Arabidopsis thaliana: one gene and its partner. The protein of the gene in region 2 purifies or fractionates together with the protein of the main gene of each other region. This does not show direct contact. Each region holds a gene or a part of one and is shown on either strand. Other genes may lie near its edges.

What was found. The genes of interacting proteins can lie anywhere in the genome.
Region 1: the proteins of CSY3 (region 2) and EMB3127 fractionate together in Arabidopsis thaliana (co-fractionation; one large-scale study listed by BioGRID). This does not show direct contact.

Annotation. Positions count from the first base shown.
Region 1 is NC_003075.7:258,026-263,213, reverse strand, and holds EMB3127 (Amino acid dehydrogenase family protein), read left to right. Parts: upstream 1-1,924; 5' UTR 1,925-2,425; coding exon 2,426-2,606; intron 2,607-2,758; coding exon 2,759-3,084; intron 3,085-3,161; coding exon 3,162-3,398; intron 3,399-3,500; coding exon 3,501-3,668; intron 3,669-3,778; coding exon 3,779-3,949; 3' UTR 3,950-4,227; downstream 4,228-5,188. Other genes in the region: KEA2 (K+ efflux antiporter 2), read left to right, coding at 73-222, 385-438, 574-632, 723-789, 876-1,052, 1,146-1,202, 1,286-1,360, 1,434-1,559. UniProt on the Arabidopsis thaliana protein: Catalyzes the oxidation of 5,10-methylenetetrahydrofolate to 5,10-methenyltetrahydrofolate and then the hydrolysis of 5,10-methenyltetrahydrofolate to 10-formyltetrahydrofolate.
Region 2 is NC_003071.7:17,801,779-17,807,975, reverse strand, and holds CSY3 (citrate synthase 3), read left to right. Parts: upstream 1-1,902; 5' UTR 1,903-1,984; coding exon 1,985-2,215; intron 2,216-2,304; coding exon 2,305-2,485; intron 2,486-2,587; coding exon 2,588-2,673; intron 2,674-2,880; coding exon 2,881-2,985; intron 2,986-3,101; coding exon 3,102-3,164; intron 3,165-3,284; coding exon 3,285-3,394; exon of another isoform or gene 3,395-3,545; coding exon 3,546-3,665; intron 3,666-3,736; coding exon 3,737-3,812; intron 3,813-3,906; coding exon 3,907-3,980; intron 3,981-4,069; coding exon 4,070-4,190; intron 4,191-4,305; coding exon 4,306-4,403; intron 4,404-4,484; coding exon 4,485-4,608; intron 4,609-4,703; coding exon 4,704-4,844; 3' UTR 4,845-5,135; downstream 5,136-6,197. Other genes in the region: AT2G42780 (transcription elongation factor B polypeptide), read right to left, coding at 5,330-5,495, 5,585-5,704, 5,795-5,851, 5,948-6,026, 6,174-6,197. UniProt on the Arabidopsis thaliana protein: Peroxisomal citrate synthase required for the fatty acid respiration in seedlings, citrate being exported from peroxisomes into mitochondria during respiration of triacylglycerol (TAG).

The DNA.
Region 1 (5,188 bases), on a different chromosome or scaffold from region 2:
ATATGACAGCTGAGGTTTCAGTTCTACTTTATTCCCATGTTTCCTCTAAGGCTTGATTGGTATTTCTTCCAGGGTATAATGACTCCGCAGCTATCTTCATTACTGTTTCTCGTCGTGGGAATATCAATGGCTCTTACTCCTTGGTTAGCTGCTGGCGGCCAATTAATTGCGTCTCGATTTGAGTTACAAGATGTTCGAAGTTTATTACCAGTTGAAAGCGAGGTACTCCTTCACAACACTTTAAAATAAGTCATTTATCACCATTCCTAGTTTCAATTGTAAATTTAAAACAATAAAGCCATGATTGACCTCAATATCCTTCCGAAGCTCATGCATTCTTGGGGTAAAAATGACTGATCCTTTACTTTCTGAATTTACTTGCAGACGGATGATTTACAGGGTCACATCATTATTTGCGGATTTGGACGAATTGGGCAGGTTGGTATCGTTATCTATAAACTTTGTTGCGAAAACAAACTCCTCTAGAAGTTTAGATAGTTTGATTTAGAGAATAGTTTGGTGATATATGATTAAATTCGTCTTTGACCGCTGCTTTCTAAATGTTAAACGCAGATAATCGCTCAGCTTCTTTCTGAAAGACTTATCCCATTTGTTGCCCTCGATGTCAGCAGGTAATGTAACATGCTTGCCTTGTCTTGCTCAATGTATCTAACCAGCTCTTTATTTGTCTCATTTCGCACCAAAAATCTCTTATTTTACAGTGATAGAGTAGCAATTGGTCGTTCCCTAGATCTTCCAGTTTATTTTGGAGACGCTGGTAGTAGAGAGGTAAGAGTAGAAAGCTGATGAAACAAGTCAAAAGTATAACCACACATCATCCAAAATTATTGACGTTGTTTTACCTATACGTGCAGGTACTCCACAAAATCGGGGCAGATAGAGCATGTGCTGCGGCTATTGCTTTAGACACACCTGGAGCAAATTACAGGTGTGTCTGGGCTCTTAGCAAATATTTCCCCAATGTCAAAACCTTTGTCCGTGCACATGACGTTGATCATGGTCTCAATCTTGAAAAAGCCGGCGCTACCGCTGTAATAACTTCCACAACTTTTCTATTCTCCTTCTGTCATTGCACAACATTTTCAAAGTAAACTGATTAAAATCTCGATACAAAAACTCGTTAGGTTGTTCCTGAGACGCTGGAACCAAGTCTTCAGTTAGCAGCTGCTGTTCTTGCACAGGTACAAGAGATAATTCTTGTAGTCATTAAGTCACCAACAATGTTATTTGGGGTATTTGTTAAACTTGTCGGCTTCTTTTTCAGGCCAAATTACCTACATCAGAAATAGCAACAACGATCAACGAGTTCAGATCTCGTCACTTGTCTGAACTAGCTGAGGTATATATTTGGTCTATTTAAAAAACTACAATTCTTCTTACTCTCCGGTTTAATGGATCCTATGATGGTACAGCTATGTGAGGCAAGTGGAAGCTCTCTAGGTTACGGGTTCTCAAGAAGTACGAGCAAACCAAAACCACCATCACCATCTGAAACATCTGACGATAACCAGATTATTGAAGGCACACTCGCTATCTAACCTTTTTTCTCGCTTCTGGTAAGACCACACAATTTCAACTTCTTTTGCTTAAAACTGTACAGAAACCAAAATCCTTATTTTGAAGAATCTTAGCGGAGAAAAAGTAACAAACTCTCAAAATTTTGATGGGATGATGATGTGTTGAAATTTCTCTAGTTTCTTTCCTCTGGGGGAAAAACAAAGGCAAATAATATTTGTATTCAACATATTGGGTCTAATATGTGAATCTATCCCTCATTTATCCGACACTATTTGTCTGTACTTTCTACCTTTGCTTCACCCTTCAACAATCTTGGCAATCGCAATAACATGACTTGCTCTGATACCACTTGTAGTACATTTAGCTTTGATTGTTGGAGCTCTCGAGTTAAATCACAAGGGTATATATATCTAGTGTGGTACTTTAGACCGCAAATAGAGAATAGACCGTAAGTCAACGAACTTACATGTATTGTTTATATATTGATCAGTGTTAATTACATGATTAATCTGAGTTTAAGACGACTAATCAAATTAAAAAGCTACTAAAAATATGAAGCGGTCCGATTGGATTTATTAAAAAAGAAAAGAAAACGAAAGACTGGTATAATAAAACCGGAAAATTCAGGTGAAATCAACAAACCGGTTTCTTTTGTGATTTGAATGAACTTAAACCCTTGTTGATATCAAAAGAAGAAACCCTAGTCTCTCCGACTCTCCGTAGACGACGAAGTTATCTTCTTCAATTCATCGTCTCTTCTCTGCTCTGCTTTGCTCTAGATCACAAATTAAAAGACTTCATTAGTCTTCCTGTCTCCACCATTACCTTCTTCCTTTTTAACTCAGCCACGACGAGCAGACTATTGTTCTGTTTTCCTTGTATAAAAATGGCGTCGATGATGTTTACCGATTGCTCCTCCACCACGACGTCGCGTCTCATCCATTTGAACCGAAGCAGCGGTACTTTCCTCCTCCGTCAATGCGTCGGCCAACTCCGTTTACAGACCACTGCTTCTGGCCGTGGCTGCTGCATTCGCTCCTCTTCTTCTCCCATTTCTTCCATTTCCGGTAATGATTAAACCTTTTGACTTAATTGAGCACCAAATTTGAACTTGACATCGATTGAAATTTGTAGACAATTAGACTGTTCTTCCCTGGAAAATTGAGTTTCTTTATTCTCATGTTGGAATCATAAATTTTTTTTTTTTTTTTTGGTACAGCTGATACAAAATCAGAGGGTGGCGCAATTGTAATAGATGGAAAGGCTGTGGCAAAAAAGATTAGAGATGAAATCACAATTGAAGTTTCAAGAATGAAGGAATCAATTGGTGTGATTCCTGGTTTAGCAGTAATCCTTGTTGGTGACAGAAAAGATTCTGCAACTTATGTGAGGAACAAGAAGAAAGCTTGTGACTCCGTTGGAATCAAATCGTTCGAAGTTCGTCTAGCTGAAGATTCATCAGAAGAAGAGGTGTTGAAATCTGTATCAGGATTCAATGATGATCCTTCTGTCCATGGAATCCTTGTTCAGTTGCCTCTGCCATCGGTAAACAAAGTCTAATAACTTTCTTCGGAACTTAAATAAACAGTGAATTACAATAGTGTTTTGGGATGTTGTTGCAGCATATGGATGAACAGAACATACTGAATGCGGTTAGTATAGAGAAAGATGTTGACGGATTTCATCCGCTAAATATTGGACGGCTTGCCATGCGTGGAAGAGAACCCTTATTCGTTCCTTGTACTCCAAAAGGATGCATTGAGTTGTTGCATAGATACAACATTGAAATCAAAGGAAAGAGAGCGGTTGTTATCGGAAGGAGTAACATTGTCGGTATGCCAGCTGCTCTTTTACTGCAGGTAATGATGATGATACCTTCTTTAAGATGCCGTTTTTTCTGGTTGTGACATTCGAAAGTTAGTTACATGTTTGGTCTTTATTGTTGTGTTTTGTATTTGTAGAGGGAGGATGCAACCGTTAGCATTATCCATTCAAGAACCAAGAACCCTGAAGAAATCACAAGAGAAGCTGATATTATAATCTCAGCTGTTGGACAGCCAAACATGGTCAGAGGAAGCTGGATAAAACCGGGCGCAGTCCTCATCGATGTTGGGATTAATCCTGTTGAGGTGAGTGGAATTTTCTTTTTGACATATGGTCATGGCGTAATTCAGTGATATAATAAGTTTCAAATCAACCAGTATGCAACATTCATACATGTACATAATATGAATTGCAGGATCCAAGTGCTGCGCGTGGATATCGATTGGTTGGAGACATTTGCTACGAGGAGGCTAGCAAAGTTGCATCAGCCATCACACCTGTTCCTGGCGGTGTAGGACCAATGACCATAGCCATGCTTCTATCCAACACTTTAACATCAGCTAAGAGGATTCACAACTTCCAGTGACGTCACTTAAAAAGAAGATTGCTGGCCTTTTGGGAAACAAACAAATCGTACTCTGTTTTTTGAAGCCAATGATTTACTTTGGTCTTTAAAGAAAGTTATCGTTTTGTTCTATGAAACAAAACATGTAGTTTTTAAGTCACATAAATTGTCTTCAACATTGTTTGTCTCTTCTTGGTATTTTGAGTCAGAACTAGTTTTAACTTATCCCAGCTATGATATATCCCAGCCTCACCCATCGGTCTCTTCGTCATTATACTTTATTTATAACTACCTTTCAACGAAGGTTAATTTGAAACAAGAAAACACAGTCACTTGTTCTACATTACTTTTGTTAAACCCTAACTTGAGCTCGAAGCCACGACCACTGTTCTGTTTTCCTAGTAAAATAATGGCGTCGTTGATGTTAACCGATTGCTCCTTCTCCACGACCTCGCGTCTCATCGATTTGAACCGCCTCAACGGTGCTTTCCTGCCCCGCTGGTGCGTCAGCCAACTCAAGCTTTCCCACCACTGCGCCCGGACGTGGCCGCATGCGCTCCTCTTATACCACTGTGCCCGGACGTGGCCACATTCTCTCCATTCGCTCCTCTTGTATAGACTAAACCTTTTCATCCAATTGCTTACGTATTTTCAGATATCCAACTCTTAAGATTTTACTTTTCTGTTCAGCTGATGAGGCGATGGTATTTGATCAAACGGCTGTGGAACTAAGTATCATGCAGGAGATCAGAGTCGAAACTTCAAGAATGGAGAAACTAATCAGTCCTGGTTTAGCAGTAATCCTTTTTGGGGACAGAGAGTTCTCTGAAGAATATAAAGAAATTTAAACTCTAGCATCTTTGCTCCAAAAACAAACTCTATAGAGTTTAAATTTCTTTCTTCTTTTTTACAAAAGAGGGATTATAGTATTATACACCATAAACCCCGTAAAATTAAAAGAAGGTATTCAGTTACCAAAATCGGATTTAGTAGCATTTAGTTTTTTTGAATTTTAAATGTACACCATAAACCCCGTAAAATTAGTCAAAACAATTAATGTGATTTATGATAATTGTAATTAAATAAAAAAGATATTACTCGATTAGTAATTACTGATTAACTGAATCATTGATCTCATTAAACAATTAAAGAAAGATTACTCGATTAGTTAGCATTTAGTTTTAATTTTTTTAATATACTAAAAATACCAATCGGAAATTCAGTTACCAAAATTAGATTTATTAACATTTACTTTTTGAA
Region 2 (6,197 bases):
TTTAGTTTAATAATAATACTAGTATTTTCAGATTTTTATATGATTGTTAATAAAATTATTTCGAGTCATCCATAATGGTCCTGAACAACTTCATAGCCGTGTGTATAAATATGTGTTTGTATACAAAAGAGAAAATAACAAATGAAATGAAACGACGTTTTTGTTTTCTATTGGGTAAGAATTAAATTTCTAGTAAATCTGTTATAAAATTTACATACATAGAGTGTAATAAACAAAAATAAGGGAGCAGTTTGGACAAAGAGTTTGCAGTGAGTCTGATAAAACGACACAACCTGATTCAAGTCTAACCATGCAACTAAATTGAAGACCTAGAAAAATTAATGTTAATTGAGTTTCAACTAACCATTTCAAATTTGTGTTAAGCTAATTTATTTATCTTAATCAACTAACGTAATTTGTTTTTAAACTGCTATTTGCTAAATTCATTATGTAGGAGTAGCCGAGTAGGACCCTGAATGGTACGCTCAAAAGAGGTAGCAGCGTCATCGAACTTAACGTTAGGACACCCTATGATTGATCGTATCAAATGACCAAAATTAAAAAGATGATTGAGTAAACCAATTAATTTTGGTATATAAACAATCTTTTTATTATCGTACACATTTTTGGGATGTGATGTGACTAATGAAAGGTTTAAATATATTTAAACATGATAAACGCAGAAACCACCATATAGAGGAGAAACTAGAAAAATATAATTTGTCAGTCATGTGTCTAAATCCACACCTACTTTTTTCTCATGCTTTTTTTCTTCCTGCAAATATTGCATTTCCTTTGCCTCTCTCACACATTTCCTCTGTCACTTTCTTTTTTATATATTTTTATTTCGGAATTCCATTACCGTGAAAAAGCTTTGTTTACAACAGTAATTTTGTTTCAAATGCTTTCTTGTTGTCTATTTTTATCAATTACTATGCCTCTGCTTGAATAACTTAAAAACACAAGTGATGTTAATTGTGTTATTGTAGATCCTATGAACAAATTTAATTTATAGACGTGTGAAGTTATAAATGAAAGATATCATTGAGTGAGTGATCACCGTTGCAGATAATGTTTAAAGAAAAAAAAAAGGAACAGTTCCTTGTTCATGTCATCATGTGTTGAAAACGGAAGGAGGGAAAGAAAAATCTATCACTCTCAGATTCAGAGCCTCACGTGGGGTAAACTTAGAATTCTATTTTTAGGTACGAATCAAAATATACGACCCGTCGCTTTTAACATGTCATTTATTATACCTTTCACTCTCATTTCCTCCATGCTTTTTTTTTAAAACGTAATTAGACCTATTCATTCTCCATAATATAATACATAAATACAACTTATAAGATTAATAGCCTCGTACACTAACATTAAAGAGTAAATAACCGTTTGTATTTTCCATCTTTTGATTAATGATAACTATAATTTATGAAGAACATCCATAAACTCATGAGTTTTATTTTGAACGCAACATCCATATTTAGCTTTACATTCATTTTTTTAATAAGATTTCAGTCATAGTTCGAAAAATGAATGTTGGGTTGGTTCCGATGGTAAAGCGAGCCGTATCAACAAAAAAGGCCCAAATAAAAAGTGGTATACTGTTGGGCCTAAAGATGAATATACAGAAGCCCATATTAAGACAATTCGGCCCATTCAGCATTGCGTAGCAATCGAATTGATATTTAGCAAATCGAGGAAAGCAATTGACTAACTAGATAATACTGATAAGTGGGTCCCACATAATTCTGACAGCTTAGAGATGGAGAAGATCATCACCGTTAGTCCAAGTTGGGTCAATAAGGCTTACGCCGTTGGATATCAAGATATCCGTTAGATCGCATACACGTGGATACTGTTCAATACTCCTGACCGCAGGGGATAAGACACGTGTTATATTAACGAAGAGTAAGAATGGTTTCTAATAATTTCTTCGCTCCCTTTCTTCTTCTTCTCTCCTTCTTTGAATTTTGATTTTGGTTGAATGGAGATATCAGAGAGAGTTCGAGCTCGATTAGCTGTTCTCTCAGGTCATTTATCGGAAGGAAAACAGGATTCTCCAGCGATCGAGCGATGGTGCACGTCGGCGGATACGAGTGTCGCACCGCTTGGATCTTTGAAGGGAACACTGACGATCGTCGACGAACGCACCGGAAAAAATTATAAAGTTCCGGTCTCAGATGATGGTACCGTTAAAGCCGTTGATTTCAAAAAGGTTTAACCCTTTTTCTAAATGACCATTTTCCTATCACTGTGGGATTTTGAGCTGAGAATTTGCTTTGTTGCGTGTTGTTTGGCTTGCAGATAGTGACGGGGAAGGAAGACAAGGGGCTTAAGTTATACGATCCAGGTTACTTGAACACGGCTCCTGTTCGATCTTCGATTTCTTACATCGATGGAGATGAAGGGATCCTTCGTTACCGTGGCTACCCAATTGAGGAAATGGCTGAGAACAGTACTTTTCTGGAGGTGGCTTATCTTCTCAGTAAGTGTTTTACCTTTTAACCTTACTACACAATTTCAAGTGTTATGTGTATCGAATTGGACATTGATGAAAAGTTTTCTCCTTTACTATATTTTCTGGCAGTGTATGGGAATCTGCCCTCTGAAAGTCAGCTATCTGATTGGGAGTTTGCAGTTTCTCAGCATTCAGCTGTGCCACAAGGTGTATTAGTGAGTCTCTAATCCTTGGTTGATGGATTTCAATTTCGATTTGTAAAATGGAGTTAGCCTGTTCTTTACTAGTAGCCTATTTTCTTGTCTGGTCGAACAATAATTTGTCAAGACTGTTCTATACATGTTGTTCTGAGGATTGTGTGCTGTACTCAAAGCTATATATTTCTCATATCTAACTCCACTTACTTGATAACTTTTGTGCAGGATATTATACAGTCTATGCCTCATGATGCACACCCAATGGGAGTTCTTGTGAGTGCAATGAGTGCGCTTTCCATCTTTCATCCTGATGCTAATCCTGCTCTTAGGGTAGGTTTAACCTTATATTACTTCTCTAACAACATGTCAGGCCTTGTCACTCGCTAGTTTTAGCTCTTTTGAAATTGTCCGTATAAACATGTTGACTGATACTCTATTGGGTGCAGGGCCAGGATATTTACGATTCAAAACAAGTTAGAGATAAACAAATTATCCGCATTATTGGAAAGGTATTTTTTTGTTATCAGTGGTTACCTTACTTCTTCCTATATTGTGTCACGCATAAACATATTTGGACTCTGAATTTCATGAAGATCTGATGCAACTAAACGTGTTTGCGATTTGTGCAGGCACCAACAATTGCAGCAGCTGCTTATCTGAGGATGGCAGGAAGGCCTCCTGTTCTTCCTTCAGGAAACCTTCCTTATGCAGATAATTTCCTCTATATGCTTGATTCCCTGTATGTCTCTGCTATCTCTTTCTTCTTGAATTAGTTAGAAACTCAACTTTTAGATTTAGTTTTAGATCTTGACGCTTCAGAGAACTTGAAGCCTAGTTATTTTTTTACTGTGTACATAACTTGTAGCGTGCCATTAACACACTTCTTACAGGGGAAATAGATCCTACAAACCTAATCCTCGGCTGGCTCGGGTGTTGGACATCCTCTTCATACTGCATGCAGAGCATGAAATGAACTGCTCCACCGCTGCTGCTCGGCATCTTGCCTCTAGGTACTTATCTTTGGTTGGAATCTTAGTGACCTTGATAGGAGATATATTGATTAGGAAATGTCTTCTTGTAGCGGTGTTGATGTCTACACTGCTGTTGCTGGAGCTGTGGGAGCGCTTTATGGTCCACTTCATGGTGGTGCAAACGAGGTATGCTATTTATTCTCATGTCTTCATATGTTACATCTTCTGATGTATTTTCATGCTCCATGGTCTTTGAAATTCATGTCTTTGGTTCCATTAGGCTGTGCTTAAGATGTTGTCAGAGATTGGGACTGTTGAAAATATTCCAGAGTTCATTGAGGGTGTGAAGAACAGGTAAAATCAATTCTTGAAACTATATGCTTCCGTTTCCGAGGTTTGTGACAAGTCTTTTCATTAAAATTCTCATCCCTTTGACATCTTAGGAAGAGGAAGATGTCTGGTTTTGGACACCGTGTGTACAAAAACTATGACCCTCGAGCTAAAGTCATCAAGAACCTGGCTGATGAAGTATTTTCCATTGTTGGAAAGGATCCTCTAATTGAGGTACGCTATGTCCACGAAGTTCAAGCTTATACTACAACTTGATGCCCACCTTTTCGATTTAGTGTAATTTTTCATGTTTCCTTAAAGCCAATGTGTTTGATTCTGATGTCTGCAGGTTGCTGTTGCACTTGAGAAGGCAGCTCTCTCTGACGATTACTTTGTTAAGAGAAAGCTGTATCCAAATGTTGACTTCTACTCTGGATTAATATACAGGTAAAAGTTTGAATGCATGTGCAGTATCCATAACTTCCTCTCAACTTCATCTAAATCTGCAAACTTGGACCATTACAACAGGGCAATGGGATTTCCACCGGAGTTCTTCACGGTCTTATTCGCGATTCCTCGCATGGCTGGATACTTGTCACATTGGAAAGAGTCACTGGATGATCCTGACACCAAGATCATGAGACCACAACAGGTATAGTTAATCTCTTTCCAAGAATAATAAGAGAAAGATTTTTCTTTGGATCAATTTGAAACTTGGATGGTTCATTGGAATATTAAATGTTGCAGGTGTACACAGGCGTGTGGCTGAGGCATTACACACCAGTGAGAGAGAGAATAGTGACGGATGACTCGAAAGAGTCAGACAAATTGGGTCAAGTCGCGACTTCAAATGCATCAAGAAGACGTTTGGCTGGATCTTCAGTTTAGACGTAGGCCCTTTTAGGGTCCATACTATACATCAAACCACACCGCAAAGAATAAAAGAGATTGGTTTCTCTAGCCTAAAGCTAAGATACTTGATCATACTCGAAACTTAGATTTCTCATTTTGTAGGCACAATATAGACTTGATCTATATTTGCTTCAATCCATCTTCTAAGGGTGTTTGTCCGCCTTGTTTGTCTTCTTATCAGAACGTGTTTATTGTATAAAATGATTTATGGTTATGGATTATTACTCTAATTTCTATATCGAATGCTTCTGCAGAGACGTTTGTTGTGAAATATCTCGGCCAAAGCAACAAGTAGAAAACAAAGCACTTTATTAAATCATTGTAAAAACTTTTGAAGATCTATTGTTACAAACTAGGATATCATCAAGCCAGAGTTTCAAAACTCGGAGTTCTTGAAACTTGAAGTAGCCATGTAAATGATACACTCGAAGAAAAAATGATCTGTAAAAAAGCTATATAAGTTACATTACATGTTTTTGTCTGGTGGCTGCATTTTTTGAAGTTGAAGGAGCAGTCCCAGGAAGGCCGTTGATCCTCCTTGGAGGTAGCTTTTGTCCACCAGAAGGAACGCTTCTTGAAGTTGAAGGCGCATTAGCGGATAAGCCAGTCCTCTTTGGAGCAGATATACTATACAAGACATGATCCGTCAAACCGATCAAGTTTGGGGGATAAAGAAGTGGATCCATATAGATATATAGATACTGAGGACATGTTACCTGAAACTCTTCTGAATCGTGTTCTTTTTAGTTTCAGTAAGATTTCGTCCACCATAAGGAATGCTTCTTGAAGTTGAAGGCGAATTCGCAGATAAGCCAGTTTTCTTTGGAGTAGAAATACTAGACAAGACATGATCAATCAAACCGATCAGGTTTGGGGGATAACGAATGTGGGTTGATATAGCTAAATAGATGCTGGGGAGATGATACCTGAAACTCTTCTGAATGGTGTTCCTTTTAATCGCAGTAAGATTTTTCACTTCTTGACTGTAATCAAAACCATCAGAAGATTTGAATTAAGAAATAGATTGTTGCTATAAACCTTATAAGTAAGACTGGTGATTGTGCAACTTTGAAGTGTACCTCTTCAACAGATCTATTTTTGCCTTCTTCATGATGTTGCTCTTCACATGCCCAAGATTGTAACCTGATGCACTATTACCTGCAACAAAATCGTCCATATAACCATTAGATTACAAAAGCCAGAGGGAAAAAAAACTAATATATGCATGGAGCATTTGCATACTGTTTTTTGGCAAGATCTGACCAGATGCTGCAAGAAATCATTTAGATTAAAAAAATGTGTTACCCCAAAATGGTCTTTTGCTTGGAG